3 linked regions of the Caenorhabditis elegans genome follow. The protein of the gene in region 1 interacts with the protein of each later gene in a pairwise test. Each region holds a gene or a part of one and is shown in the gene's direction. Other genes may lie near its edges.

Region 1 (10,882 bases):
TGTAGTAGTGGTATTTCATTTCAATTTTTCCATCTTTCTCCTCGAGGACCATTTTGTTGATAGTTAAAAGAGGGGTGGTATGGACCATTCATAATCCTTGCACAAAGATTTTAAGCTCCATGCCATATGCTCTGTGAGTTTGAGGGGTGGTGTTATGAAGGAGAGGGAGGGAGTGACGACGATTGTGAAAAAGTGAAAAACCGAAAAACTATTCTCATTGTCAACTGAATTATACCCGAGTTTTTCCGAAATTCTTTTCTTCTCTCCACCTTCCCAAAAAGCACAATGTTCAATAATTGATGTGGTCCACGTCGAAGTCTTCTATTGTGTGTGTGTATGTGCGTGTGTTGCCGGTTGTATGTGGCTCGTTTCAAGTCCGGCAGGAAGCAGTAAATTATATAAAAACCTACAATGGCAAATTATTGTAAATTTTGACAAAAGGTGGCGCACGTTTGTGAGAGACGACTCTATGAAAAGCAGTGAAAATTGCCAGCTTTTCAATATAAACATTTCCTCCCAGTTGGAAGCCTATTCCTATTCGTCATCATTCTCTATTTTATTTTCAACTTCAAAATGTCAACTAACGTTTAGCACTTTTTAACTTTTTCTATTCCTTCTTCTTTTTCTTTTTAGCTTCTCGATTTATTTCATTCTGGTGGAAAGTTAAAAGTCATTGAGCACAAAAAAGAGTGACCATCGGCAAGTTCAGGTCATTTGGCAACCATATGTCCGTCATACGCATTCTCTCAGAAATTCATTGAATTGGAATTTGTAGAGGAGGATCCATCCGGACCGAGAGAGGAAGAGTGAGGCTCCTCTTCTGCTGCATGTCGTTCTTTTATTCGTCACATTTTTGAGAGGCGAAACAAAGAAAGAAAGAGAAGAAGCAGATGAAGAAGTGAAGGAGGTTCACAGGTCCCACGTCCTTTTCTCCTAGAACTCCCACGGACTCAATCTATTGAAACGTACACCTGCATTAGGCAAAGAGCACGGAGAGTTGCTTCTTTGTTTTGTAGTCCTTGTTTGCCAACCTTTGTATCTTTCCGAATTTTGCCATTGATTCCATCTTAGCTTACAAAATTCTCATTTTTTGTAACCATGTTAAACTGACTAATTGTTTTAGGTAAAAAAGTAGGTACTCAGAGTAGATTTTTATTTTTGGACCGAGTTTTAAAACAAGCAAGACGACACTTTTTTGGCATACATTACGGTTTGTGAGAACGTAACAAGTTCTGAAACTACATTTTATAACAGTCACTTCCACTTCACTTTCAAAAGTATTTTCTGACCAATGTTTCAAACAAATTGGAACTTTTAAATTGCAATTCAACTTTATAGCACTCTGAAAAAAATCTCTTCCGCTTAAATTTTTCTTAGGAAATATTGCAAATATTCCTGAAACAATGATGCTAGACAAATATGTTTATTAAATAAGCAATTTCAAAAAAAAACGGAAAAAAAATGTTTTCGAAGTATTTTGGAAAATTTTTAATAAAAATTCGGGAAAAAAAACATTTTTCTGTAACATCAGTTTCTCAATAGGGGTTTTCGAAATTTTATGTGATTTTAAATTTTTCTTCTCAAATTTTCAAACTTTCTTGATACCGTTCCAATCATTTTTCCAGCAAAGATAGCCCACATCTTAGTTTATATTACATTTTTCTCGGAATTCAAAACTTTGTTAAAATTTGTGCAAGGCCACTTCATTTGTTCATTCATAACAATGTCTAAAAAATTATTACTTCATCGCCGTATTTAAAACTTTTTGCCTAACTTTAGTGAACCATTTTCCAAAACATTTTTAAATACTAAGAATAGTATAAGTCTGTCCATTTATTTTCTGTTTTCATCTGTAGGTGTTAAACAATTTTTTTATTAAATTTCGAAAAAAATGGCAAAAAACAAAACTATTTGGTAACTGTTATGAATTAGTGCTGTAATAGGTAATTTTTTAGCCGAACAAACTATTCAAATTGGAATATAAAAACTTTGAATATTTGTTAAACAAACCCTATTGTCCTAATAAGCAAACTAATTTGTCATAAAAATTTCGCAATTTTCGACCAAACTTTTCCGAAACACAACTCTTCTCAATTTCATCCGCGAATCGATGTCCATCATCCTTAACAGTCATACACCCATAATCTGTATGCTTAAACCATCGCGACTGCACGGCGAGCATAAACATGACAATGCATGAGCTCGCCGAGCCCCCCCCCCCCCCCCCGACAAACTGAGTGAGAAAGCAGCAAAAAGCGATTTTGTCGTGGCGGAGGGTGACCTGTTGAAGAATGGTGTTTACGTTGTCAGCAGCTGCTCGACAGTTGCCTTCCCGCCGAGCCCCACGCTCACAATGCTCGGCGGGAAGAGGGATAAAGAAGAGACAAGCACTGGAATTCAGACTCGGGATTCGATTCCTGGACACTTTACAACGTGCGGCGAAAGCGAGATGGATGACGGGCCTCATTCATTCTAACTATGTGTATTGTTAGTCGGTAGGCTTTCACTTCCCGTCGCTACAAAGTGAATAAAACTGAAATATCGCACGCGCTCGCTTGTTTAATTTATTTGCATATTTTCTTTGCACCTCTATTTCTAATTTATTTTTCCAGAACCTCTCCATATTTCAATATTTTACTCAAAACCCATAGTTGATCATAATTCCCATTTCTCTAACATTTTGCTCTTTCGACAAGAATTTTTTTCCATCTATCATCATATTTCCCTATTGTCGTCTATCCTCCTCTCAGCTCTTTTGTTCAATTAGCTGCTCTTTGTGCCAAAATAAACGCAATCAACAGCATTCTTTGCCGCCTCCTCTCACGTCTCGATTTCCGTTTTTCGTCCCTCCAATTGGTTACAGTTCTCAGCCATCTCGTCTCACTTTTCGCTCGATTAACCGCATCACATTCCATCGCAATTGACTCTATCCATTCGAAACGGTGTCGTATTTTCACTCTCTTAGGGGTCTCTTAGAAATTCTCTGCACAATAGGAGCAGCAAATCGAATTTCTCCAGATACTGATTGAAAATTGAGAGGGAGAGAGAGAGAGAGATGAGGTTGGAGTATTTTGAAAAGAAGAGGTTAAATGAAATAAAGGCGAGCTAGTTGAGAAATGTTTAGAAGTGAAACAATGTATTTCCAATTTGTTTAGAACTTCTTGTGCATTCGGGAAGTAAATGACTTTTTTCTATTCTCAACCATTATGAAATTTTTCCACCATCACAAGTTTCTCCTGACATTTTCTTTCGTTTCTTGTTTTCAGTTATTAGAAAACGTTCCTCATCACCAATGTATGCCTCTCCTAATCTATGCATTAGACTACTGTTTCGTGGAATGATAATCTTAGGCTGCTGCTGGTACCAGCAGTTAACACAGCAGCCCTATGAATCCTTTATGCCACTCCATCGCCTCACGATTCTTACGACATTTGTTCTGCGCAGGCATCTGGTGCGTCTGCTTGCCAGAGGACCACCAGAGTGGCTTACAGGAGCTCAACATGTATATTTATTGCACTGGTAGAGATGTCAACTGTTTACAAGTCTCAAAATGTTTCTGCCCTAACCCTCCCCGGGCCCCCCCCCCCCCCCTCCCTCACTCATTCTGTCACTTTCTCCTGGTGTTTCGAAGAAAGGAAGATGAAATAAATGAGACGATTGCCGAAAACACGCGTAATCATAATTGACTTTTTATTTATTTCTTTTGCGACCACATCAGCAGGTTTGGCATCTGCCGCCGTTATCAAAGGCATGCCCTAAGACATCATCAGTGCGCACGTCGTCGGTGATGGAAAAATGCATGTTTTTCGCGCCGCGTGAAGCAATTCAGTAGATTGTTCCCGATCCAGGCCGTAGGCCTCGAGCCGGGGAAAGTTTCATGTTTCGTTCGTTCTTCAACGGCTCGCGCTCGCACTTTTTCGTTGGCTCTTGGCCTATTTGTTTTCGGGGCGATGAACCAACCGCCTTTAAGACCAGTTTTCTTTTCACTCGAAATATATTTTTGCTACCTCCTTCTTCTTCTACTCCTGCTGGCGCTCATCCGGCAAAAAAACTCAGCTGACTGCTCTTGATGCACCTGAGCTTGTTTATTTTCTCTCTTTAATTTTGAATCATTCAAGATGATGCTAGCTAGTATGTAAATTGTTAAAAGCTCATCAAATAGTGTCAAAAATTTTTTATTTGTTGAAATTTTGTTATTTTGTTTTGAAAAGTAGTTACTACTCAGTTTTTGCCACTTTTTTGGAAGTCATCGATTGAAACATGTTCCTTACAGTTTGATGGTCTCCATCAGTTTTAATTATTAATATTCACACATTGTACGGATTTGAACATGCGACAGTGCTATAGTTTTCTCAAAAAGTTGCAAAAACTCGATGGTATCCCCTTTTTCCCCACTATTTGTAAAGCTTCTTCACCTTTAGTAAAAAATTTGGTTCTGGTATTTGGTATTCAGAGCCCTTCCAGTTTTAGTTCTACCCCCCCCCCCCCCCCCTCTAATCAATCATTTTGTAACAAACAGTTTCATTCAGTCATGTGTCTTCGAAGTTTTGCGGACGGACATAAATAACATAAAAAAGTGAAATTTCCTCTCTGCATGGTTTATACGGTCTCTGTGCTTACTATCGAAGATAAACTGATATGATGAGAAACACCACCACGTCCGGGTTTCAAATCTTCAACACTTTCCCATATTTTCAATGCACATGGCACTTCACATAAGAATCCTTAAAGTTTTTCCATGTAAATGTGACGAACCGCCATATTCAGAGTGCTCTGCGTCGTTCAACAACAGCTTTCCAAGTCCTCCAATTGTTTAATCAGGCGGTGAGGACGAGGGGCGGTAAAGACTCCCATACTCGAAACGCACAGATTTGAAGCAATTGTATTCCCGAAAAACAAGACTAGCCCCCGGGAGGAGGAGAGCATCAGTTTGTTTCTTTTGCCTCCCACTGTTTTCGCTGCCTTTCTCGGATTGTCCAAACATGCGAACGTCTTAGTCCGAGCACATTGAGCGAACGGTATTTTTTTCTTTTTTTGTAGCATCGCAACAAATTGGGCTCTCTTTGCTATTTTTGGGCACAAACAAATGGTTGTTTCATTTTTGAATCGCCGCCAAATTCAAAATCCTCTGTACATTCCTCTCAGCTAAAATTTCACACAGAAAAAGAAAAACAAAAAATTATACTGCAGTTCGTAATTGTTTTCCAAATAACATCTTACAGTATAAGTATTATTCTGTATTTCCCACCACCACATCATGAATGCAATGTGATCAGAGATGGATTATTTCTTCATTCTGTCTCTATTCTTTTCTTCTTGGAGCAACTTCTCCTTGTCGCATCCTTTGATTGAGCCTTCTTTCTTCTTATTCTTCTCCTCCTTCTTCTTTTACTTCATCCCAACATCCACCCACTCGTTGTCAGTTGAGCTCTGTTGTTATTTCGCGTTTTATTTCTCTTCATCGATTTCAATCTTTTTTTTCTGGATCAGCATGACATAAATCGATACTCCAGAGGTGGTGTTATTTGCGCAACGGCTCATTGTGGTGAAATATTATGGCAAAAATTGACCGGGGGGAAGAGTGTTGGAAAGAAAGAGTCAATTTTTGCGACGACAGGCGGGCGGTGGTTGGCTTCTGTTTGGAGAGCAGCAAAACTTTGACAGGCTCACCCACCACCGGAGACAGACCTACGGATTTTGTGCGCGCGCGAGCTTTTCGTCGGCTCGTTCTTATCCATTTCTATTTTATCTCTCTCTCGCGATTTGTCGCCTTTCGTTTAGTTTTCACTATCTCTACCTATGTGGTCTCTGAGGTAAGTAAGGTCTCTGATAACTCATTGATCATGACGAGTGATAGATAATAGCAGTGTAAAGTTTTCAGTTTCATGTTGGCTCTAGCTCATTTCCTATTGATTCACACCTTCGATGTTGTATATGTTTTTTTAAATTATCGTTTATAAACTTCTCATATTTCTATGTATATATATACAAAACTTCAAACAAAAACATTTTGCAGGTCAATTTCACGGTATTTAAGCTAGGCCCTATATAAATCAAGTAAAAAATGTACGGCCAAGTCCAAGATCCACTGGTGCATGCTGCTGCCGCTGCTTTGGCACAATCAACCAACGCCGAACCAGTAGTTGGTGAGTTTCCTGTGATCCCCATCGAATTGTCACATGATGATGGTTTAGAGAGGGAAAAAGATAGGGAAAAATGACAGTGGTATGCAACTTTTGTGTGTAACCTCACATATGGTTCCACTTAAAAGAAGACTTGCGATAGGAATAGAAACTGGAAATATTTCAAATTTTTTAGTTCATCTCCATTCATTTTCAGGTTCCCGTGATACCATGTTCACCAAAATCTTTGTCGGTGGTCTGCCATACCATACAAGTGACAAGACGCTTCACGAGTATTTTGAGCAGTTTGGAGATATTGAAGAGGCTGTAGTCATCACTGATCGTAACACACAAAAAAGCAGAGGATATGGATTTGTAAGTCACTGGAATGTCAAAAATTTCTAGTTTGCGATATTTTTTCACGAGATCTTACGTTGGAGGTCAATTGAAACGAAACGGTTTCTAATCATCAATCACTTTTGACATGATTAACCATTTTTTATCTTGTCCGTCCAGATAAAAGAGGAAACAATTTCGTTTGATTTAACTTCACTAAATTGGAAAATAATTCGGGAACAAGGTGGATGAAGAAATCTTCAAATTTCCGAAATCTCGCGGTTCTGCTTTGACCTCTCAAGCGGCTCTTCATAGGAATCGCACGCGTATTTTGTTAGCAAACATTTCCCAACCATATATATCTCAACAAATAGTTGCAACAGCAAAGATGGAAAGATTACTCTTCGCAAAAAAACATGATCTTTACATATGTTTGTTAATGAAACATAACTTTTCAGGTAACAATGAAGGACCGTGCTTCTGCAGAAAGAGCTTGTAAAGATCCAAATCCAATCATTGATGGAAGGAAGGCTAATGTCAACTTGGCATACCTCGGAGCTAAACCAAGAACAAATGTGCAACTTGCTGGTAAGTTTCGAATTTTTGTGCGGCTCTTGAGCAGCTCTCAGATCATTTTATTCTCCCCGTGTGTTTTGGCTTCTGCTAAACATTATCAATCCTCCACAACCTTCATAACCAAAGGATATTGTTTGTGTCGCGCATCTCTATTCAGTTTTTGTCTGTGTTAACCAAAATCACCAAGTTGGTCATTTTAGCGCTGGCCGCTGGACAAGTTCAACTTCCACTCACCACTCAACTTCAGGCTTTGTTTCAACCAAGAATGGGGTAAGTTTCGGTGATTTGCCTGTGTGTGACATACTTCCAACAATTCCTATCTCATCCAAAAATCACCGCTAATTGAGTTGTGTTGATACAGAAAAAAGAAACAACACGACAACAACAGCAATGACAAAACACTGTAGAACTTTGTGCTCTAGCTCAAAAGTTGCCTAGGATACTTGAGAAGTACTCTTGTGTTCAACCATCTTCACACGTTTAATAATAACTTAAATAATATTAATGATTGTAAACCAAAATATTTTAAGACAAGTGGCCGGTTGAATCGAAATCCGTGGATGCCTAAAACTAAAGGTTAGGCGTGCTTTGACGTGTGCCAATATCATTACTTTCATTTTCCAAACCAAAAGCGGAATACAATAGTGCTGTGTTTTTGACGTGTCCATACTCTCTTTCTCTTCATTTTCACCTATTTCCCAAACCTATATGATTTCGAGTTTTTCTCTTTTCCCTTGGTGAAAACTTGCATAGTCCTGAATGAACTGAGCACCCCAAAGTTGTTTTCTTCATTGGTGGGATTGATGATTATTTCTTTGTAGGTCAATGGGTTTGGCTGCCTAACTAAAACCATCACGCATTTTCTAAACTTTGCTATAGTTTGGTTACGTCTTTTCTGATACTTTTTTTTTTGGAATTTTGAAGTTGTCAATGATTTTACTTTTCATTCTATCCAAATATGTTAGATATTTCTTTTGCACTAACTCAAAAAAACTGAACTGAAAAAATGTGGAGTTTCTTAATATTGTTAAAACAAAAACAAAAATAATTATACTTTCCAGAACCAAAAAAAGTGAATTTTTATCACGCATGTGCGTGTTTTTTGGGTGATATTGTGATAAACACTGTTGCCTCATTTCCAGCATTTGGCATTTACATCCTCCTGTCAATTCCGTGTTCGGTAATTAATCAATACTTTTTTTTAGACTTCCTCAAATGTATTATCCGACTGTCACAGGACTGGTCAATCCGTTGATGGCACAACAAGGAGCCGCTGCTCAGCAACAATTGTTCGATTATAATGCTCTGGCCGCAGTAATGAACCCACAAGCTGCCGCCGCTTATGGTATTCAGTCCCAAGGAAAATGTATGTTCGACGATAGGAAGTTAAAATTAAATAAAAATTTTTTTTTTTCAAATTTAATAAAACATTTTCAGTCGCAGCCGCCCCTACAACAATTGAGCAATACGCCGCCTATCCAGCAGGATACGGCCTAGTTCCCCAATCTGCCTACAATATTGGAAACCCACAGTTGCAACAATTAGCTGCCGCACAACAACAGCTTGAGCATCAACGTGTCTAGAATCCTAATAATATTCTTCAATTTGTCATTCACTCATTCATAAAACCGATTGTCATTGTCGTCCCAGCAATAATTCGCCAACTGATTTTGCCAATAGAGAACATAGGTATTTGCCCGAGTTATACTGATAATTTTACAACTTTGTCCTACCCAAATATCAGATTCTTACGCAAATCAAACAGTTCTATCTAGTCTTCCAATTTCAACTTTATTCCCATATACTTTACAATTTTAGTCACAGTTCTTTTTGATTTTGTCAATTTTTTTCTTATTCATTTCAAATTACAAATCTCTGATGTGGGTTTCTACACGTTCGATGTTTTTTCTTCTCAATTTTTTCCCGAAACGCCAGAGTTGCCTGATTTTAATGTGCCATTTGCACATCCTCATTGAATTTGCAAATTAATTTCATATGGTGAGTTCGTAATAGTCGTACATGTTCCTGCATTTAATGTTTACAATAAACCGATTTCAAAACCTAATCACGTGTGATGCAGAAACTGGAAGTAGTTGTAATGAACGGGGGTTTAAACAGAAGGCAGATGGATACAACAGGAACTAGTTGCAGCATTAGGTCATCTTGGCAAACAGTAAGAAATAATGCAATACTATATTGTAGTTTCGTAGATCGAATTTAAAACAAAAAATACAGTACTAGGCAGAATGATACTTTTAGAATGAATGATAATTTTTTGACGAATTTTTTCCATCCAAAAAAATAGGGAAAAGAACCTGTGAAAGAAGAAAAAACTGGCTCTGAAAATATAATATCCTGACTGATTGAAGTTGTCGATCCTGTAAATTCTAAAACTGATAGTAGTGGTAGTAGATGACATTGAACACTTCCGAATGACATTTCAGGCTGAAAATTAAAAAAAATTGAAATGCCTTGAGAAACCATCTACAAATAGTAAATAGTAGAATAACTAACCGAAATGAGGGTAGAGAATAATTATTTTAAGCTGCTCGAGACATTTTGGCCACCACTGAAAACAAAACGTTATAAAATTAAACTACCGTTCCAAATATCCCATCTCTCAATTTTAAAACCCTTTTTAAAGCACGATAGAATGATTAAATTTTTAAAATATTCTGAAACTTTTTCGAATGAAGTTCAAAGACTAGAAAGTCTAACAATATTTAAAATTGAGTATGGTGAGGGGATTTTGTTTATAAATCTTCGCATTCTTAGATATCTAATTAGAAATTTAAAACAAATGAGGAGATAATAATACAGGGTGGCCTATAATTATGCGGACCGAGTTGCTCTCACAAAAATATGTTTTTTTCTCGCCTGACAAATTTTAAATTTTTGTTTTATTTGTTCATTGATAGCTGACATGTTTTCCTATTAGCTAACTTTAAAAAAATGTGATTTGTTAAACTACGCAATCTAGGCAGAGTCGTCAAACTAGCATCATCTCCCACACTGACGACTCTTTGACACGCATCGATTTTTGAGTGTGGAAATTTCGAAACCGATCTTTTCTACAGTAATGTATACATTTTGGAAGCGAAAAATATATTTTAATAAATGTTGAAGTATATGGAATTGGTTCCATGAAATTCCAGCTCCTGTTGGGTGATTGTTTGACAGTAACTACAGCCGATTTTACAAGGAGTTCAATAGCTAGTGACAGTTTTTGGTATATATCAGCCATAAAATGAGATAAGCACATAATTGTTGCCACAAGGAAAGAAAAATATTAGTAGAATCATATGGCTATTTATCAAAACATTCACTTTTTACATAACTGATGTGCCAAGTGGAACGTCGGCTTTCTGATGTTCTTGATTTGTCTCCCTTCAATCAATGACCACATCAATGTCAGATGAAAACATTTATGAATTTTATTGCAAAACGGATTCTCAGAAAAAAGTCAATCCAAATATGATTGCTAAAGTGATGATATTTGCAATAGAACCTAGAAATGACAACAAAAAGGAGAACACCAATGAGTTGCGTGCCAACGTCAAAATTTTTTAGGAATGTCAGCAGGCCTGTAGAATTTCACAAGCGGAAAATTTGAAAGTTTGACAACAAATTTTGTTCCTTAGAAAATTTGAAATAAAATATGTGTTGTTATCATATTTTTGAATGTTCCAATCAGATTTTATGAGTACGACTTGCGGTCCGCATAGTTATGGGCCACCCTGTATTAACTGAATCTTGTACGATGTTGGTTTGACGGGACCCAAGTGTGGTTGACAGCTCACGGGTGATTTGGAAAGGATCCGTTGCCATGGCTTTCTGCAACGTGTCCA
Region 2 (10,882 bases), on another chromosome or scaffold:
GGCATCTTTTGCCTTTTTATTGAGCCTTTCAGGCCCTTTTTTAAGCCATTTTCAAACATTTTTAGGCTTAAAATTAGGCCTTTCAAGCTCTTTTTGAGGCTCATAGTTTTCTTTTTCAAACCAAGCTTTTCTGAGCTTTTGCTGCTCAAACTCAAGTTGCAATTGGTTTAAAATGGAGTTTCAAGCCAATTTCGAGCCTCTTTAGGCTTTTACTAAGGTTTTTCGATCTAAGCTTTTCTAGCTTAAAACTGAGCTATTTCCTGCTTAATTTTGAGCTTTTCAGACTTAAAATTAAGGCTTTTCAAGCCGAAATAGGCCGTTCAAGCTTTTTAAGCCTCTCCGAGCCAAGTTCACCTACTTTAGCAGGTTTTCGGGTCAAAAAATTGGAATTTTTCCAATTTTTTTACTCAAAAAATCCAAAAAAACTCACGTAAAAAATGGCGGAAAATCGTATTGCCAAGGCCATTTGAATGCTGAAGCTGTAGTAGTTGCAGCAGCCATCTAGAATAAAATAGAGTAAAAAGGGGACCACCACCTTCCCTGGGAGGAATCCTCAATTGAGAGAGAGAGGACGAGAGGGAGAGAGAATTATAGACGCAGAGAACAACCACGCGCGTGTGTGTGTGTGTGTGTGTGTGTGTGTGTCTGACAGCCCAATCAATACACACTCTCTCTCTCTCTCTCTCTCTCTCTCTCACACACAGCCCTCAGAATCTCCCAGAGAGAAAGAAGGAGAGAGAGAGAGAGAGAGGATAAGACAGAGAAAGTAGGCGAGAGAGTAGGCAGGCAGGCAGAGGGCACAGAGAATGCCGGGTGCCCCCCGCACGCCTCTCAGGCCCCCCAACGACACAACGCGTCGTTTTCCCCTTTTCCCCAGATACACACACACTGTGACTGGCTGGGGCTGACTGCTGCTGATGCTGCTTTCACCAGTTTTTCCCCCTTTTTTCGGCGTTTTTTCCACCTTTTTTCAAGGTTTTTTGTGTATGAAAAGCCTCTCCGGTGAGGCTCTAGCCACGTGGAAATCGATCAATAAATGAATCAATACTCGCATGTGGAATGTTGGGCGTTTTTCGATCGATTTCTAGGAGTTTTTCAGAGAAATTCCGACCTTTTCACCTCTTTTTCAAGGCTTTTTCGAAACCTTTTCCCATGAAAATTACCCCGGTGAGGCTTTAGCTTTGTGGAAATCGATTAATAAATCAATCAATACTCTCACGTGGAATGTTGGGCGGTTTTCGATCGATTTCTAGGAGTTTTTCACAAGAATTTCGACATTTTCAAGCGATGTTCACCTCTTTGTTAAGGCTTTTCCCAGTGAAAAATATCCCTGTGAAACTCTAGCCACATGGCAATCGATCAATAAATCAATCAATACACTCATGTGAAATTTTGGGCGTTTTTATCCCAATTTCTAGGAGGTTTTCAGAGGAATTTCCACTTTTTTTAAATAGGTTTTCCTATTTTTTTTAAGGCTTTTCCGTACGAAAAGCTCCCAGAGTTCAAGCTTGCCACGTGGCAATCAATATCGCCTCGCATTCCTCCCTATCACAGACACACTGTTAATCAGTGAACTGGTATTTTCTTTTCTTTTTTTTGGTGTCATGGTCATTTGGCATTTATATCAGAAGGCGAGGGTTTCTCTCGTGATTTTTTACTTCACTTTTCCACCTTTTTTTTTCGATTCGTGGCGAGACCCATTTATCGATTTTATTGATCGATGATGGGCTTCAGGGTTAATCGTAAGCCGCAGCAAATTTTGAACTGAAATCCGCCATTTTAGAAAAATTTTTTGAGTTGAAAATTCACTTTTTCTCACCTTATGAACCTTATGAGTTGAAAAAGTGATTTTTTCAGTGATTTTCAGCAGATTTTAGGGCTGAAAAAGTGATTTTTGACGCTAAAATCTGACTCATCACGTGAGAAATTAATCCTTTATTTTCCGTTCTTAAGCTCATTTTTGGCTCCGTAGAGCAGCAAAAAATCCAAATATTTTCCAGGTAACTCCAGCTGGAGATGAACTCCGCACCGCTTCTTGTCGACCCGAGCACACAATCGGCAACCGTCGTTGCCGAAACTCAACCGTTCGGCGATCGTTGCATGCTGGAATCCTTAATTCGTCGGCCTTTCTGCATGAATCCACAGCTTCAGACACATCCGTACGATCGGCAACCGACAACTGCGCCGAGGGTGAGTACCATTTTGGTCATTTCTAACCGAAAAACTGGGAGAATTTTCAGCTTCAAATGATGCCACGCCGAGATCAGACACAAAATCCAGTGATCGCCGAGCTCATGAGCACCGTGACTCGTGTGAGAGATCGGAAGCGTCAACGAGATGAGGAGGCGATGTACCCGCGACGAAGTGTGGGACTGCAGACCGACACTGAAGACGTCTCCGAAGTGCTCGATGGGGGCACTCGCATTTCCGATATGAAACGGGTTCGGCGCGAGGTAATTGGTTTCGGGGGCGGAAGGTCGTTAGTGGCGGCTTCGGATTGACTGAGAACTTCCGGTGGGGATGGCTGGAAGCCTTGGGATCCTCTGGATCCTGAGATCCAAAGGATCTCTGTAGCTTTTTTGATTCACAAGATAGGCATGGGTGATCCCACTGGAAGATCTGATAACTGAAAGAGAATCCTTATGATCCTCATCTAGGTAGCCTAGGATAAGCATCGGAACAGGAGGATCTGCCTCTGAGATCTTTGGGATCCTCGGATATACCACTTGAGCTTAGGATTTTCAGAAAGATCAGTAGATTCTAGCGGGTTACGATCTTTATATTCGGCTAGGATCCTGAGCTAGATCAACTAGTCTTTTACTATAAAAACATGGTTTTAAGGATCCTTGGGATATTATCAATCTTTAATAATTTCAGGAACTGCTCGACCAATCATCACTCGACGGTATCACCTTCGAAACATCCGGAACGAACACTTCCGATGAACCTCATTCACAAATAATCACGTCAAATTCTTCATCTCTACCTTCAACGTCAGCATCATCGTCATCAGACCGCCCTCGAGCCATGCGCAGCAACCAGGAAATGCGACAAGCTCGACGAGCCCGTCGCCAGCGTCAGACCCAGCACGAGTCACAGCGGATGCAATTGGAGCATCGTCTTCAGCAGATTACGGGTCCTGTTCCCGGTTCAGAACACAACTGTATGACGGGATGTCCACACCTTCATCAGCAACAACAACAACAGCATCAGCAACCGCTTCTGCATATCCAATTGAATCCAATTCCACCTCAACCACAAACGGGTCCCAATTCGGTGTCGCCGACGATTGCTCCAGGAGCCATGCTTCGTGCGCATCCACTCGCATCAACATTCCCCTATTTTTCACTGCCACTCACACAAAACTATCCGGTGATGATGGTACTTCCGATGGCAGCAGTTGCTCAACAACACGCTGCAGCCGCTGCAGCAGTAGTCGCCGTCGCGGCGGCGGCAGCGGTACCACAACCACCTCCACCACCTCCACAGCCGACGCTTCACGCTCCGGTTCCGATTCGTCCGCAGAACAATCCGTACAATTTGTACGCCTTCAGAAATTCACCTATTAATGTGGTGAGTTCTTTTTTCTTTTTTTGAGCTATTTAATCATTTTTCTTTACTGAGAAAACGTTAAGCTTTCGATTAATTCAAGATAATCCGTGTTGGGATTAGAGAAAATGCTCTTTGGCTCCGTGGGTGGGCATCGGGCTGAGGTTTGAAGTTTAAAAGACCGTTTTTGGGCCAATTTCAGGCTTTCAGCTGAATTTTGAGAATTTTATTGGTTCTGGAGCAGTTTCACTTGGTGGTGAAGTGTCCCATTTTGGTTTGATCTTCGAAAAATGCGGGAGAAGAGACGCAGACTTTTCAACTGATTTTGCATGGTTAAGAGTGTGCTGACGTCACATTTTTCTGGGAGAAAAATTCCCGCATTTTTTGTAGATCAAATCGCAATGAGACTGCCTGACACCACGTGCAGTTTCAGAAGTTGCTGAGCGTTTAGCAGCAGCAAAATTGAGCACTTTGAAGCTCCGAAAGTATTAGGAGCTGAGCTCCAGAATCGTAGGCTTCTATTTTTCAATAAGGCTGCTCTTGGAGCTTCAGGAGCCAATTTTCTAGATTTTAAACTTCTTGAAACTTCAATTTGCACAAACTGACGATTTTAAAGTTTTTATCGAGAATGCAATTTTCAGGCCAAAAAGCGCTGGGAGTCAAGCTCCACAGTGTTACGGAATTTCTAGTGTACAACAAGGTTCTCCATGAATTTTTGTAGCTTCTAAACCACTTTTCGAGTTTGAAAATTGCTGTTATCACTGAAAAATGCGAATTTTCAGCTCTGAGAGCCGAGCTTCAGAGTCTTAGGCTCCTACATTAGAAATAGGGCTGCTCTTGAAGCTTTTCGAGATTTTTAACCTCTCCAAACCGAATGTTTTTTCAGCACGCACCAGGCTACGTTGGAGAATACGTTGAGCTGTTCCGTTCCCAGCAATTTCTATTCCCGACGTCCGAGCGATACGGAATCGATCGGCATCATATGTTCGGTGGACTCGATTTGGATCTTCCAGTCGGTGCCTCGAAGGTGGAAATCGACACATTCACGATTCCGACGGTGTACGCGAAGAAAACGGACGGCGAAGAGGACGAGGACACGTGTACGGTCTGCTTGAGCAGTTTTGAGGATGGAGAGGTTGGTTTTTGGAGCATTTCTAGTTGTTTTTAACGTGATTTTCAATGATTTTCATGTTCAGAGCATACAAAAACTACGATGCAATCACGTTTTCCATCCGGAATGTATTTATAAATGGCTGGACATCAACAAGCGGTGCCCCATGTGCAGGGAGGAAATCGATCGGCCTGAATCTTTGAGAACACAGCCTGGTTTATGAGTTTAAATCCACTTTTCTTCGTTGTTTTGTCGGCTTTGAATATATAAATATATATATTTTTTCGCTTTTTACGTCTGCCTTTTTCCCCCCAGTCTCTCCCTCATCCCCTTTGTTTTCCAGTAGGATTTACCATTTTTCTGAACATAAAACTTGAAAAGTCAATAAAAATTTAATTTTTTTAAAGATTTTAACAAGAAAAACTCACCGGAATTGAAGAAAATAACAGGAAAATATGTAGTTTAGCAGAAAAATAAATGGAATTAAAAATAAAAAATAGTTTTCTGAGGAGTACGGTAGACAAAGTACGCAAACACGGCGACGCACAAATGCACGCGCAACAAAAATTTTGGCCCAATTTCGAAAATGATTGTTTTATTTTAACATTTTCATTTTTTGTTCGAATTTTCAGATTTTTCGCGTGAAAATTGCGATTTTTGAGTAAAAAATCAATATTTTTGAGTTAATTACCCCTAGAATAGCTGCTAAAACGGCAGAAAATCGATTTAAAATTGTGAAATTCAAAAAAATTCAGTTTTCGCGGGAAATTTCAAATCGCGAAATCATCTTTTTTTTTCTCTAAAAATTCTGATTTTCCTTCGAAATATCTTATTTTTTCAGAATATTTCTCCAAAACCATGCCTTCCTGGAGAGAAAAACACGAGAAAATTGTCCAGTCCAAGATTTTGGTGGGTTTTAAACCAAAAAATACGTTTTCCATATCGAAAATCTCAATTTTTCAGGTTATCGGCGCCGGTGGCATTGGTTGCGAGCTGCTGAAAAACCTGGCGGTTACGGGATTTCGAAAAGTCCACGTGGTAAAATTTTTCGTCGCGAAAATCGCTTAAAAATTGAATTTCCAGATCGATTTGGACACAATCGACATTTCCAACCTCAACCGTCAGTTTTTATTCCGAAAAGAGCACGTTTCGAGCTCGAAAGCTGCGACGGCGACACAAGTTGTGAAGCAATTCTGCCCACAAATAGAGCTAACCTTTGATCATGACAGTATCTTCGAGAAAAAATACAATATGGAGTTCTTCCAGGCATACGACATTGTTCTCAACGCTCTGGACAATCGAGGCATGGAAAATCATCTTTTCTGGCAGAAAAATCTGGAAATTTGGCTTTTTTAGCGCAAAAAAGAGCCAATTTAGCCTAAAAATGTGTTTCTAACTACAAAAAGCAAGGAAAACATAAATTTGCTATACAAAAGTTTCACAAGTGAAAAAGTCGGAAAATGTGACATTTTTGCCGGAAACGCTCAAAAACGTGTTTTTATTCACATAAAACGCGCAGAAATACGGTTTTACACATAAAAATCCTCAAAAGCAGTATATTTTACCTGAGAAAAAAGGAAAAATGACTTTTTCCTGCTGAAAATAGTAGAAAATTTGCTGTTTTGGAAGGAAATTTCACTTTTTTCTAAAAATTATCCAATTTTCAGCGGCAAGAAACTATGTTAATCGGATGTGCCACGCGGCAAACCGCCCACTCATCGATTCTGGATCCGGTGGTTATTTTGGACAAGTTTCGGTGAGAAATTCGCTATTTTTGATGAAAAATTAACGGTTTTGGCCTTAAAATGTGATTTTTGGCTTCAAAACACAAATTTAACCGAAAGTTAGTAATTTTAAGTTTTAAAAATACATTTTTACGTTAAAAATTGCAATTTTTCCAGGTGATCATGCGTGGAAAGACGGAATGCTACGAGTGTGTGGATAAGCCAGTTCAACAGACAACCTACCCGGGATGTACGATCAGAAATACTCCAAGCGAGCATATTCATTGCACAGTTTGGGCGAAACACGTCTTTAAGTGCGTAAAATTGACGAAAATTCCGATATTCAACGGAAAAATAAAAAATTTCGCACATTTTCTGGCTACGTGGCCTTCCCGCAACTCATTTCACGCCAAAATGCGGATTTTGTGCATTTTGTCGTAGGATCCGACGGTGTTTGCGTACTTTTGAGACTACCGTAACCCGAAAATACCAGAAAACATAGAATCTAACGAGAAAAGGCACAAATGTATTGAAACTCAAGATTTTTCGCCGAAAAACTCTAAAACTTGAGCGAAAAGTTTTTTTTTTTTGAAAAATTCGGTTTCAATTTCGAAATTTTATGCAGAAACTGACTAAATTTGCTGAATAATGGATATTTATGGCATTATTCAGGGCATTTAGTCGATTTTTGCTTAAAATTTTGAATTGCAAGCCGAATTTTTTAAGGAAAAAATAAACTTTTCGCTCAAGTTTTAGAATTTTTCATGAAAAAATCCAAAATTTCGAGACATTTGTGCATTTTCTCGTCAGTTTCTATGTTTTCTGGTATTTTTGGGTTACTGTAGCCTTAAATGTACGCAAACACCGTCGGAGGATCCTCGGAAATTTGTGCACTTTGTCGTAAGATCCGGCGTTGTTTGCATACTTTTGAGGCTACAGTAATCCAAAAATATCGAAAAAAAAACCGATTTTTCAAGGTTTTAAAGCAATTTTTAAATTTTTAATACGTTTTCAATTTCAGTCAGCTGTTCGGTGAGGTGGATATCGACGATGACGTGTCACCGGACATGGATGCAGTGGATCCGGATAATACTGAGGCTGTTACCACTGAAAAAGAGAAAGAAGCAATGAAAGAAGAGCCCGCGCCAGTTGGAACACGTCAATGGGCTGAAAGTGTGGATTATGATGCTGCAAAAGTGTTCGACAAGGTTAATAACCTGGATTTTGCGCGAAAAAATGTGAAAAATTGGCTGGAAAATCGGAAATTCCGCAAAATTTCGATGGAAAACTGGAAGAAAATACGATTTTTAAGCCAAGAAATCACAAAATCTAAGTTTTTCGGCCTAAAAATTGAGATTCCGTCGCAATTCTTGATTAGAAAAACCTTTTTAATCCAAAAAATGGATTTCCGGCACAAAAGTCCAATTTTCAAGTGATTTCTTCTCGTTTTCACCCAAAAAAATCGACTTTTTCACTGTTTTTACCACTAAAATAGCCTAAAACTTCAAATTTTCAGCCTGAAAAACTCAATTTTCACTTAAAAAATCGACGTTCCCTGCCAAAAACTCCATTTTCTCAGCATTTTCAACCCAAAATCCTCTAAAAACGTCAAATTTTAATTCAAAAATTAGAATTTTTCTCTATTTCCGGCTCCAAATCTCTTGAAATTTTAAATTTGTAGCTAGAAAAACTCGATTTTCACCAAAAAATCTAATTTACCACTATTTTCAGCCCGAAATTAGCCAAAAACTTGAAAACTTCAGCCAGAAAAGCTCCATTTTCACTCGAAAAGAGAAATGTTCACCCAAAAATACGCTTTTTCTATAATTTTAGCCCAAAAAACTCGATTTTCACTCGAAAAACCTATTAAATCTACAAATTACCATGTTTTTAGCCAGAAAGGTGGATTTATATTCAAAAAACCATTTTTTCCACAATTTTTCAATTTTTATAATCGAAATTTAGCCAGAAAAGTTTTATTTTCACCCTAAAATTAGAATTTTCCCACCAAAAATCCTGTAAAATGCCAAATTTTAATACAAAAATTAGAATTTGAAACTATTTCCTCCCCAAAATCTCTTGAAATTTCAAATTTCAGCCAGAAAAACGCGATTTTCATTCGAAATTATCCAAAAACTCCAAATTTTCCGCCAAAAAATTAGACTTGCCCTGCGAAAAATTCCATTTTTCCACAAGTTTCACAATCTAAATCTCTTGAAATTTTAAATTTTTACTCAGAAAAGCTCCATTTTCACACTCAAAAAATAAATGTTTTCCACCCAAAAAACCTCCTAAAACCCCAAAATTTTCAGCTTTTCCTGCACGATATCGAATATCTTTGCAAAATGGAACACCTTTGGAAACAACGAAAACGTCCATCACCACTGGAATTCCATACAGCTTCATCTACCGGAGGAGAGCCTCAATCCCTGTGTGATGCTCAACGTGATGATACTTCAATTTGGACACTGTCCACGTGTGCAAAAGTCTTCTCCACGTGTATTCAAGAGCTCTTGGAGCAAATACGGGCGGAGCCAGACGTGAAGCTGGCTTTTGATAAAGATCATGCAATTATTATGTCATTTGTGGCTGCTTGTGCCAATATTCGAGCGAAAATCTTTGGGATTCCGATGAAATCACAATTTGATATTAAAGCAATGGCTGGAAATATTATTCCAGCAATTGCATCAACTAATGCAATTGTTGCTGGAATTATTGTTACTGAGGCTGTGAGGGTGATTGAAGGATCAACGGTGATTTGTAATTCGAGTATTGCGACGACTCAGTCGAATCCGCGTGGACGGGTGCGGTTTTATGGATTTTTTAATTGAAAAATGTTAAAAATCCAGGAAAAACAGCTGGAAAACTCGAAAATTGTCAGGAAATTTCCAACTTTTATGTGGAAAATTTAACGAAATTCATAGTTTTTCGCTTGAAAAATATAAAAAATCCGAAAAAAAGGTGCAGAAAAAACTGAAAATTCAGTGAAATTCCAACTTTCAAGTGGAAAATTTAGAAAGTTCATGATTTTTTTGTTAGAAAAATACGGAAAAAACTGCAGAAAACTCGAAAATTCCTGTTTTTACGTGAAAAACCTATGAATTTCATTTTTTTTTTGAAAATCATTAAAAATCCGGAAAAAAGCTGCACAAAATTCCAGCTTTTATACTAAAAATGTAGCGAATTTTAGATTTTCAGCCAATTTTTTTGGTGAAAAAACTGGGAAAATTCGATGAAATTTTGATCAAAAATTTTTTAAACACAAATTTAAAAATGCGACGACTCAGTCGAATCCGCGTGGAAGGGTGCGGTTTTATGGATTTTTTAATTGAAAAATGTTAAAAATCCGGGAAAAATAGCTGGAAAACTCGAAAATTCCAGTGAAATCCCAGCTTTTCTGTGGAAAATTTAACGAATTTTGGATTTTCAGCCAATTTTGAATTTTTTTTTCGATTAAAATATGAGAAATTCAGGACTTTTTTGATGAAAAAAACAGGAATCTCAAGTTTTTTGCGAAAAATTTCGAAGTTTTCAGCCAAAAAATGCTAAAATTTCACCTAAATTTCCAGAAAAGGCCGGAAACGTCAACATTTTTGCAAATGTTGCTGTCTTTTTTCTCAAATACGGTATTTTTTGAAATATTTGAAAATGCCTAGAATTTAGAGTTTTTAAAACTTTATAATCAAACTCTGTGGAATTATGAAATAGCATGGAAAACTCGAAAATTCCAGTGAAATTCCAGTTTTTTTGTGGAAATATTTGAAATTTTATGATTTTTCGTTGGAAAAATACGAAAAAACTGCAGAAAACTTGAAAATTCCATGCTTTTATGCTGAAAATATAGTGAATTTTGAATTTTCAGCCAATTTTTTAGTGAAAAATACGAAAATTCAATGAAATTTTGATTTTAAAAAAAGTTTTTTAACACAACAATTTAAAAATGCGACGACTCAGTCGAATCCGCGTGGAAGGATGCGATTTTATGGATTTTTTTAATTGAAAAATATGAAAATGATTTTAAAAATGTGAGAAATAAGGAATTTCGATGAAAATTTTTTGATTTTTAGCCAAAAATTCTATTTTTTTAGCCCTAAAATTCCAGAAAAGGCAGAAATTTCAAAACAAAAATTGCGAATTTCACAGTTTTTCTCACAAACACCTAGAATTTTTAGTTTTTTTTTTCAAATGTTCTAATCAGAATTAAAATTTCCCACCATTTTCAGCTCAAAAAGTGGCTGAAAACGCAACTTTTCTGCATTTTCAAAAGAAAAATTGGAATTTTGCAGTTTTTCTATGAGTTTTCGACTGGATTTTTTTTGAGTTTCCACCGAGCTAATTTCTGTGAAATTCCATTTTGTACATTTTTTGAGTGAGAAAATCCATCAGAATTTCAAAAATTTTACAACAAAAAATGGATTTTGTGATCGAGATTTTCGGAAAATTAGGATAAAATTAGATTTTTCTAAAGAAAAACCAAAAATTATTGTTTTCATGTTTT
Region 3 (10,882 bases), on another chromosome or scaffold:
TTTTTCGATTTTCTCAACAAAAAAAACAGAGAATCACCGAAAAATCGAAAAATTTTGTTTTTCTTTCACAATAAATAATTGGAAATTTAAAAAAAATTTAACATTTTCAATTTCCACTAAAGAAACATCCAAAAAATGAAACTTTCTTGTTCATCGACTATAAATTTTTTGATATTTTAGATTGTTAAATTTAAAAAAATCCATTTTTTTTCTAAATTTTCTCAATAAAAAACAACGGAAAATAATCAAAAATTCCGTTTTTTTTTAATTTGCCGTCGAAATACACCTAAAAACCGGCATTTTTGTTTCTAGAAACCTCTTTTTTCGATTTTCTGGAAAGTTGAAAAATCGAAAAACGGCACCCTTGCTTGTGACGCAATAAGTATTATATAATCACTCTCTATACAACTTGTTATCGATATCAATCGTTGCAGTGTGTGTGGACACTGATTAATTTCTGTCAAGTACTGAAAAACCAGCTTCCTCGCCCAATAATAAACCTCGAAACCAAACCAAACATGGACTGTTTTTGCCATCTCATCGGGAATAATTAAACAGACGAAGAAGGCGTTAATTGTTAGTTGCCTATATGTGAGACAGTGCCCGAGGAGAGAGGAGAAGCTTGTATTTGTTTGTTGTGTCATCCATTCGATATGGGCAAGTTTCTTGTGGCGATTCTCGCCGGAAGACGCTCCTTTATTGATACTTTATCTTTCAGTTTCCGTGTTTATTTCAAAATCCATAGGTTTTTTTTCTGTCAAAGATATAGTTAGGTATCCGATTCGTCGCATACCGTTTTCTCCGGATTTTGAATAATCCAGTTTTTTTATTAGTTGGGGTTTTTTTCTAAATTACCCGAAATAGTCTAAATTTCGGAATCCAAAAAGAATGATAAATTCCACTAAATAGTCTAGCAGACCACTTTTCTTCAAAGTTGAATTAAATACGATATTTCTATTAGTGGCATTTCTAGATTACGGAATGTTTTGGGTATTTAAAAACAGAATCCCATTCCTTCATTTTCCGTTACTCCACCTTAGAGTTGCGAGTGATTCTAGCACCATTATGTCGTTAACGTCGTCGTTTTCCAAAATCATGCTGAGCTCATAGGCTAGAATGTCTGTATGTCGTGTGAAATCATATTTGGACTAAACTTTACTAAAGGGCTTCACGTGAAGTTCTATAACAATTCATTGAAACAATTTCGTTTCGCAATCTTTGATCAATTTTAGCAATTCGAAAATAGAACTGATAAGCAGAAAATTCAATCTCACACCACAAGGCAGGTGGATTTTATTCTCCTAATTTAGTTTGGCTCTGGAGCTCACAAAGCTCCGCGTGCACGCGCGCGCACATTTGTGTGTGTGTGTGTGAGACTTAACTAGTCGGAAATGATTCGAGTCTCTCGTTGTTTTCCGGAGACACCGATAACTTCGTTAGCCAAGGCTACGCAGGTTAGCCACATTTCCCATTGAATGATTGTTGGTTGGATGTCGGCTTTTCCTTTCCAGAAAGTATTACTATTTTTTCACCCAAATGTTGCTATAATTCCCTTCTGCCCCATATCCCCTGCCCCCGAAGGTCAAACCGCTTTCAATTGACGACTTCTACTACTACTACTGCGGTGTCTCTTCTTTTTCCTTTCAATCTTAGGTCTTTGCCTCCTTTGGTTTAACGCTTGTGTGTGTGTGTACGCCTCTGTGATAGCAAATGGAACATTTTCAATTCGGGGGCCGCGAGGTTGAAAAAACTAGGTCACTCGAATTGAAATCGAAAGTGAGAGACTCCGGGGAAACGAGGAAGCAAGAAGATGAAACACCTGTAATCATAAAAGAAGTCAGTTTGAACGGAAGACATGGGAGCCGTAATTCTCGAAGCGGATTCGGACACAGAAGGCTGGAGCTGTTGTGAAAAACAGCTCCAGCCTACAACTGAACGGGACTTGCTTTGGAGTCTGGGCCAGGGGTGGGCGGCTCACGACATTTTCCAACAAATTGCCGAAATCGAAAATTTCCAGCAAGGCAAATTGCCGATTTGCCGGAAAAACGGCAATAGCCGAAAATTTTCGACAAATTGTGTTTTTGCGCATTTTTTTTTTGAAATTCCAGAATTTCAATTTCAATCGGCAAAATTGTACGCATCCTATGAATGTTCCTACAACTATTTCGAAAAGTAAGAAAATTCTATGAAAATATATAAAGAAAACGAAAAAGTTTCAAAAAAATAGACACAGTTTTAAATCTTTCGTCTTTCTAAACATTTCCGGCAAATCCGGCAAATTGCCGGAATTGAAAATTTCCGGCAAATCGGCAACCCGGCAAATTGCCGGAATTGAAAATTTTCGGCAAATTTCCAGAATTGAAAATTTCCGGCAAATCGGCAAACCGGCAATTTGCCGAATTTGTTGGCAAAAAAATTGCCAAACGGAAATTTTTTTGGAACATATGTATTAATGTTTTTTTTAGTATAAATTATATTCGGTCACTCCTACATTTTACCAAATTAAAAATTATTCAAATTATCACAAGCTTTGCAACGAAAGGCGTCTGATTAAGCGACTATAACACCTGACGGGTTGTGCAAGCATCTTACCACCGTCTCGATGCATCATCATTCATTTTCTTCATCTTTCCTCCTCCGTTGTCTTCTCTCTATCGATTCGATTGGAAAAAAGAGGGGAGTATCTTCAGATGTCTACCTTCTCTCCGTCTTACATAGTGCCTAGATGACTATCTAAACTGTCTGCCACCCTCCTGAACATCTTTTCGTCTCCTTTTCTTCCCATCGTCACTGTTTTCTTTTCTTTCAGCGGGAGGTGTTTTATACAATTTGTATATTCTTGTCGTTGTCCTTGCAAGTTTGTTTTTTGTTGGTTTCGCTAGACTAGGTTCACTTTCGTTGAATACTACAGTAACCAGTGGCTGGCTCCGAGAGCAAACACTGTGCGGTAATTGGCTCCCCGTTTCTTGAGCAAACAAACCGTAATCTGCTCGGATATTTTGCTGAGAAAATTCACAATTTTCCAAAAATTCCATCCATTCTCACATTGTCAGCTTGGAAAAAAAGGTTCCCATTTATTTTTATGCCCTCCATTCCATTCGCCTCTTCCTCTTTCGACGGGACGGGGAACGTACCCATGAATTAGATGAGCCCCCGTCACACACGGCTCGCCTTTAGCCAATTCTCCGTTCCTCTTTCATTTTCGCGACTGACACATCCTCTCATTCAATAGTTCACATTTTTTGGAAGCTTTTTGGTTTTTTTTTCCGAGCCAGAAAGTTTGATAATTTGGCAATTGATGGCAAAATTTGAATTACATTAGAACATCTGAATAGTTGCAACATGGATATTTTTGTTAACCGTCTTACTAGGAAATTATCGAAACTGGCACTCATTTTACCCGAAAACCTGAAAATTTCGAGAAAATCGGATGTATGTCGGTTTTGGAATCTCTCCAGAATATCAATATATAAGAAAATACCAACTTACAAATTTTTTACGAACAAAAACATCAGTTTGAATTCTTTCGACTAATCGTTCTTGAAGATTGTATACAAAAACGTTTGAAATAAATGCTCTTTTTTCATTTTTGTTCAATAATTTTTTTTTCTGACAGTTTAAAAAAATATATTCCGATTCTGAATAGATGCGGGTAGTAAATGTCAACGTATATTCCACTTTCCCGAGATTCAGCCTTAGATTTATAGATTTTTGAACAGCTGCCAATCTTAGATTTCAAAAGATATTCGTTTTAGGACAAATAGCCAATGAATTCGAAAATCCTGAAATCATTCAGAACTACAGTAGACCAGCATTGTTTATTACAATCAGATGTGCTAAACATTTCGTATATCCTACAACTCTCATTATACTTCATTCTTATTCCGGAAGGCGTCAGTTTAACCGAGCATATGTTCGCCAGATGTTTTTAGTTCTGATGATCTGTAAGGTTGTTTTACACCACCCACCCAGGTGTTCGTAGATCAGGATACTTCGAGGCCAAAGCTTCCAAAAACGGAATCGGCGAGGATTAAATTAGGTTCCAAACCCTCGGGGCCAATGGTTTTCCAGGAAAAGCGGCATCTGGAAAATTACATACTGCGGGAAGTGTGAGAAAGTGACAACGGAAAACATATGTGCCGCACAAAGTCACACGGCAAGAAAGATTACATTTTCCCAATTCTCTAGTCATTTGACTAGATTCTTGCCTCTGAATTTTAGAGTCTGAAGCTTCTATATCCGAACAAACAACACTCCTAGGAACTTACCGTATCCTCTAGAATGTTTCAGGCTTTATGGCCACCTGTCGTATGTCACCTTCATTACCTTCTTTAAAGGGATAATCGTGTCGAGACCCTGACCCCCGTCCTGGCTGTCGTATCGTATCGTGTTGTGTGTGTTAATGATGTCGATTTACGCTTCACAAAAAAAAGATTTGTTCATTTTTTGCATTGAATGATTCTCATCATCACTGTGAAATGAAACGACCCGTCTCCCCTCATCGGGACAAAAAGACATAGAGAATAAGACGTGGAGATTGACAAATGGTCAGTTCAACACAATTAGCTATCCCCCTGCCGTCGTCTTCTTTCAATCTTCTCTCGTTGCACGGACCAGCAGTGATGGTGTACACTAAAAGAGATCTAAAGAAAATGCTCTCGGGAGCCTTTGGAGCTGTGATGCTCTCTGTGCTATTACACACGGTAGCTCGTGAGCATCCATCCTGAAGGAGCAGCTGTCTTCACTAAGTCTTCTAGGCTATCTTTACAACAACGGTGTTCTTTTGGTTCCGCCCTTTCTTTTCGGATAGACGAAGTATTTTCAACGTGTGTTTTGCTTTAGAGTGAAACCTTTTCAAAATTTCTCATTAGGCAGATTACCCTAAGAACTTACAACGAAATTTGCGTACATTTTTCAAATAAAACATGCCAATTTCTGGAGCCTGGAGGTAAGCTGGCTTCCATTTCATGTTAGAGAAAATGACTTCAGACATATATATTTATTTTCTTGTCATTCTTTTCTCCCTGCCAATCTTCAGGCTACTCCATTTATAATCGGTTTTCTTCCGGCTCCCCGTTGTTGCCTTTGCTAGGGGAAAATAAGAAAAACGAGATGACTGACATTATGAAAGACTGAACGTTTTGTCGGTTTTGGATCCAGAATGTATTAGCCGTCTGATACGCTGCAGCATAATTCGTGACACAGTTTCTGAGAATATTCTAAATTTAGAAGGGGAAAATCTTAGAATCCAGAACTGACCGAATCGTTGGAGAACATATAAATACGTTGCAGACAACTGTTTTATTTGTGTTCAACAAATACATAGAAGACGTCCCTTTGCTGGAATATATTTTTGTTCTTCTCTGTTTGTATTGTTACTGCCCCGCGCGCCGCAAAAAGCAGCAGCAGTCGGGTGGCGATAGTCTCTGAGAACAGTTCAAATTGAGGTGATCCCCGCCCCATTCATCAATATATTTCTTCCACATTTGAACTGATTAATGTCAGAAAAGAGTGAATGATTTGATAAGAATCTCTTCTCTGGCCAGAACTTTACACACACGGTCCTTGCGCGCACGCAGTACTGATAAACTCGGCTGATAACACAACATTTTTTCTCCCCCGTCCTTCTTCTCGTCTTCCAAATGTCTTAATCACCGTTAATACCGTCCTTCTCGGCGCGGTATCAGAGAGGCAAGAGGCAGACAAAGAGGTATTTCATCGATAATAGTACTGTTTTAGTTGTTCTCGCTTTCTATTTCGATTTTTAAGTATACAGCTCTAATAATGTTTCCCTCGGAAAAATATATCAGTTTTGGAAATCTATATCTATAATGGCTCTTGAAACGTATAAACATATTAGATCTAAAATGACCGATTACGGCATGTTGTTCCAAAATTGTTAATTTAAAACTCGTTCTGAAATGAAGTAGTTGTTGATCTGAAAATATAATAAGGATTTTTCCATATTTTGGCACTAACTTTTAATAAAAAAATGTTATGTAGAATTGGCAAAAGTATTTGACGATCTCTCTTCTCTTTCAATATACGGCTTATATTTCACAATATTTTTACAACCTATAAAGCAATATTATTATCGATAAAATACCTTTCGCTTTGATAATTACCTTGCTTCAAAGTTATTGCTTTTTATGCGTATAGTTGATTTTTCTATAGTTTTGACCATGAAACTGCTAGATTCGTGCATTTCCATTGCTTTTAACACTCTTTGTTAATTTCATCATTTTCATACTTTAAAAAAAAATTTCTCCATTTCAGACACATCTCCTCACACCACCATAATCTCAACCTTCCGAAATTCATCCTTCCATGATATGAGCGGAGCTGTGCTACCAGCAGTTCTAGTGGTACCAAAAATGGAGTCAGTAGTCGTTCCGATTGCGGAGTCCACCGTCATTAATGCCAAGGACACAACACCATCCACGGCAGCGGACAACGACGTGTCACCGTCCCCATCGGAGCCAGACACAGATGCGATCAAGATGTTCGTCGGCCAGGTAATCATACTTTCTCAAACTTTTATTCGAAAAGTGGGCATAATTGGCTCACCCCAATCTCCCAATTCGATTCAATTTCATGTATACATGCACACAATGAGACTCCCCCCGCTCATCCATTTACTGAGACACTTCACTACTACTACACAAATTTGATAAAACTGAATAACGAGGAGACGGGGTATTGGATTTGTGTCTATTTGGGTTCGACCCCCTTATTTTTTCATACGCGTTCATTACCATATAAATGATGAGGGAGGTTTTCTCGACTCAAGGGCATTCTCAAATTGATGAAGACGGACAATGATCATCAATTTTTTAGAGTAATGATGATAGAGAAAAGTAGGGCAACAACAAAAAGGGGAAAGATATGGACTTTTGCGGAGAGTAGGGTTTAAATTAACACAGTTGTATGTGTATTGAATTTTTGTGAAAAAGAATGAATCAAATATCCACATGACATGTGGCTTTTTATGGGAATTTCATAGCTCTCTCGAACAATAATAAATCGTGGGAATAATATTGCAAGTCATATTTCATATTTTTTTTGTCATTTCAAACACGTAGCCAACATCTATATTTTTCGTGATTTTCCCAAAGATAGAAATCATATTATTCTGAAAGTTTAAAGGTGGAGTACCGAAATCTGAGACTTTGATTTTTTAGAACCAAAATAGCCCAAAACTACCGAATTTCGTTCGTAATAAGACGTTTTGAAAATTTCTCAAAAAAAAGTTATTTAGCTGGAAATGACCTTTTTTGCAGAACTTTGAACCGCCATAACTCTGTTTTTGAGAAAATTTCAAAACGTCTCATTACGAAATTTGATAGTTTTTGGTCATTTTGGGTTTGAAAAAGCAAAGTTTCAGATTTCGGTACCCCACCTTTAAATTACATCAATTTTCAACAAATAATGGGGTTTTTCAAATAGTGTCGCGAAATATCACGAAATTTATTGAAATAAAATTAGACTGTATTTCAATACATTTCGCGACACTACTTGAATAATTCCATAAATCAATTATTTTAATAGAAAAATGACATTTTAAAATTCAAACTCAACGCAATACAAATTTTGCAGATCCCTCGCCAGTGGAACGAGACAGACTGTCGGCGATTATTCGAGAAGTACGGATCAGTGTTCTCGTGTAACATACTCCGTGACAAATCGACACAAGCTAGCAAAGGCTGCTGCTTTGTCACATTTTATCACAGAAAAGACGCGATAGAGGCTCAAGGAGCCCTTCACAATATAAAGGTTATTGAAGGAATGCATCATCCGGTACAAATGAAACCAGCTGATACTGAGAACCGAAATGGTAATTTACTGATAAATATAAAATAGTATAAAAATTACAAGAAATAATTTATTTCAGAACGAAAACTTTTCATCGGCCAGCTCAGCAAGAAGCACAACGAGGAGAATCTGCGTGAGATTTTTGCCAAATTCGGCCATATTGAAGATTGTAGTGTGCTTCGTGATCAGGACGGAAAAAGTCGAGGTAAGTGGGGGAAGGGCGCATTAAGTAGGGTATCTTTTTCAAAAAAGTGTAAAAATATTTACCTGTCTCTATGCTCTTTTTTACTATTTTCTCTATGTTTTCATCATTTTCTGTGTCATGCATGTTGAGCGAAAAGGTGGGAAGAAGAAGAAGATTCCGAAATTCGAAATTGAGCTGATTTACACGTGGCAAAATGGTCTTGATACGATTGTCACAGGGTTTAGAACATTTTCTAACAAAGTTGGTAAATTTGGATGTATGACTTTAAACCCAACATTTTGAAATTTTTGGCTAGTACCCTCAAAAAAATGCGTGGTGTGTATCAGGAGTGTGCGGCAAATTTTTGCCGGTTGCCGGTTGCCGATTTACCAGATATGTTCAATTCCAGCAATTTGCGGTTTGCCGATTTGCCGGAAATTTTTAATTCCGGCAATTTGCCGACTTTCCTGAAATTTTCATTTCTGGAAATTTGCCGATTTGCCGGAAAAATCGTTTGCCGCCCACCCCTGATTTGACCTTTTGAGTTTTGAACTACAGTAACCCAAAAGGTGGACATTTTTGGCTAGAAGTTAGAAAATTATAAAAAGCTGTGAATTTGAAGAGCAATGTTTCGGAAAAAGTTAGTATACCTAGCTTTAACGAAACTTTCAATTTTCCGGTATTTTTAAAATAAATTTTTAAAAAATTGAAAATCAAAAATATGTTGATCCTAATGAGAGTCAAAAATAGAAGTTATTTAAAATTGGATTTTTTTCAGAAATTTTTATCCAATTTTCCGATTATTCAATTATCTTGATAAATCCTCGATTATCGATATTCGATGCCGATATTCGATCGATATTGAACAAAGTTAAACTTTCGAAAACTAAATATGTCAAAATTTTTGGGTTACTGTAGCTTCAAAAGCTAATATAAACCGACTACAGTACCCCAACGTTTTTGAAAAATTTCGACTAAAAAATTAAAAAAAAAAAAATCATAATTTTCAGACCAAATTGCCACGTGTGAATTACAAAAAAAACAAATTTCTGTTCTACAAAATCAAAGTAACGTCCTGATTTTTTTTTCGAAAAAAATGAAAGTTTCATTTTCTTGCCCTGGTATTCTATGTAAAAGTAACAAGTGAGTGTCGAAATAAAAGTTTGAAGTCTGAAATTGGCTTCACACAACATATACCCAATGTCGATGATTCCTCTATCTCTAAATGTTAATCAATATTTTCATATTTGTTTTTTCTCCAACAGGATGTGCATTTGTAACGTTCACAAACCGCAGCTGTGCCGTCGTCGCCACCAAAGAAATGCATCACTCGCAAACGATGGAGGTTCGCATATAGCTTTTTGTCTCTTTTTTATATTTATTTTTATATGTTTCTTGTATGTATGGGAACCCTTCTGCTGTAAACTCTAAATTTAATTTAAAATCTCTGAAAATTGTCAAAGTTAAACGGAAAAGTGTGTTTTACCAATTCTATTCATTAAGGATAGTGTAGTCAAGATGTTAGTGTCTTTAAAATTGCTTTATTAGACTCAAAATTGTCTGAAAACTTTTTCGAGAACTTTTCGAGAATTTTCATTTTTAAATTCGGTGTGTTCAGACAATTTTGAGACTAATAAAGCAATAAAAATTCGTCACGAGAAAATATTAACTACTATAGTTATTATGAAATTAAAAATAAAAATAAATTGCATTTTTCCTGAAGTTTAAAAGGTAATGTCAAAATTTAAAGCAGTTTCACTAATTTTCTTATGAATGTGGTTTCCATGTTGAGTGTTGAATTTTCAAAGTCATATATTTTCCCATGCTTTATTTACAAATTTAGATTATATGTTTAGAAACGTAGTTTTTTCCTTCATCATTATTCAAAAATTACAATTTTTATAGGTTCTTTCTATAGAATTCTAATTTTTAAATCAAATATTGCAGGGATGCTCAGCGCCGCTTGTTGTAAAGTTCGCTGACACTCAAAAAGACAAAGACGTGAAGACGAAATCAATGATCACTGGAAGTGGAGCCGGTTCACCGAAAGGAGGCGCGGCAAGCTTGCTTCAAAACTTGAATCCGGCGCTGTTGCAGCAGGTAAAATATTATAAAACATCAATATTTTGTTCCTAAACCAAATCAAAAGTTTCAGCTCGGCGGTGGACAAAACTATCAAGCAGTAGCCTCACTTTTGTCTCTTATCAACGGACAACAGGGACAACAACAGCAGCACCAACAGCAACAAAATGTTTTAGGAATTTTGGGAACAGGTAAACTTAGTTGATAATCATTAAAAAATTGTACACGTAGTTCAATAAAATATAATAAAACTGAAAAAAACCCACGGTCGCAATATCCGATTCAGTGCTCTCTGCGCTCGGCAAGCTAACCGAAGGCGGTGACGACGCGTCGGCAAAGTCCTCATCGGAAAAGCCACGCCACCAAGCGTTGATGACGTCACCGGCACCGACTGCCACGTCATCAACCTCATCGTCGGCTTCACATCATCACCAGCAGCATCAGCAGCAGTTATCACAGCAACAACAACAACAACAACATCCGCAGCAACAAGGTTTAGGTGGGAAATTAGGCTTCTGAAGGTTGCCTTGTGGATGATATATGAAGTGTGTGTTCTCGTATCCCTCTCGTCGGAATGTGGACACTACTGTGTGCTTAATCTCTATTTTGGTTGCTCACCCCCCTCATTTTCTCATTTGCCACGTGGATTGATTGATTGGACGGAATTTTCGCTTACTGTGTTCTCGATAGCCTACTGTGTGAATCATCCTTCTTACTAACACAATATTTCCGAAAAAAAGATTTGTGCGTTAAGTATGACGCATTCGGTGTTTGCAGACACACCGATGTAATGCATCACAATTG

What was found.
Region 2: the proteins of sup-12 (region 1) and toe-4 interact in a two-hybrid assay, tested with the Caenorhabditis elegans proteins (one large-scale study listed by BioGRID).
Region 3: the proteins of sup-12 (region 1) and etr-1 interact in a two-hybrid assay, tested with the Caenorhabditis elegans proteins (one large-scale study listed by BioGRID).

Annotation. Positions count from the first base shown.
Region 1 is NC_003284.9:3,898,575-3,909,456, forward strand, and holds sup-12 (RRM domain-containing protein), read left to right. Parts: upstream 1-6,016; 5' UTR 6,017-6,064; coding exon 6,065-6,146; intron 6,147-6,339; coding exon 6,340-6,497; intron 6,498-6,916; coding exon 6,917-7,046; intron 7,047-7,234; coding exon 7,235-7,304; intron 7,305-7,564; coding exon of another isoform or gene 7,565-7,580; exon of another isoform or gene 7,581-7,610; intron 7,611-8,239; coding exon 8,240-8,400; intron 8,401-8,471; coding exon 8,472-8,617; 3' UTR 8,618-9,097; downstream 9,098-10,882. Other genes in the region: T22B2.5 (Neur_chan_memb domain-containing protein), read right to left, coding at 9,570-9,603.
Region 2 is NC_003279.8:12,736,087-12,746,968, forward strand, and holds toe-4 (RING-type domain-containing protein), read left to right. Parts: upstream 1-2,000; 5' UTR 2,001-2,016; coding exon 2,017-2,190; intron 2,191-2,240; coding exon 2,241-2,453; intron 2,454-2,877; coding exon 2,878-3,573; intron 3,574-4,435; coding exon 4,436-4,684; intron 4,685-4,745; coding exon 4,746-4,883; 3' UTR 4,884-5,060; downstream 5,061-10,882. Other genes in the region: vps-25 (Vacuolar protein-sorting-associated protein 25), read right to left, coding at 431-501; SUMO-activating enzyme subunit uba-2, read left to right, coding at 5,519-5,569, 5,624-5,698, 5,744-5,963, 6,328-6,416, 6,562-6,698, 7,406-7,592, 8,697-9,188.
Region 3 is NC_003280.10:156,810-167,691, forward strand, and holds the start of etr-1 (RRM domain-containing protein), read left to right. Parts: upstream 1-6,291; 5' UTR 6,292-6,332; coding exon 6,333-6,515; intron 6,516-7,596; coding exon 7,597-7,834; intron 7,835-7,891; coding exon 7,892-8,017; intron 8,018-9,261; coding exon 9,262-9,341; intron 9,342-9,943; coding exon 9,944-10,096; intron 10,097-10,151; coding exon 10,152-10,269; intron 10,270-10,364; coding exon of another isoform or gene 10,365-10,577; intron 10,578-10,882.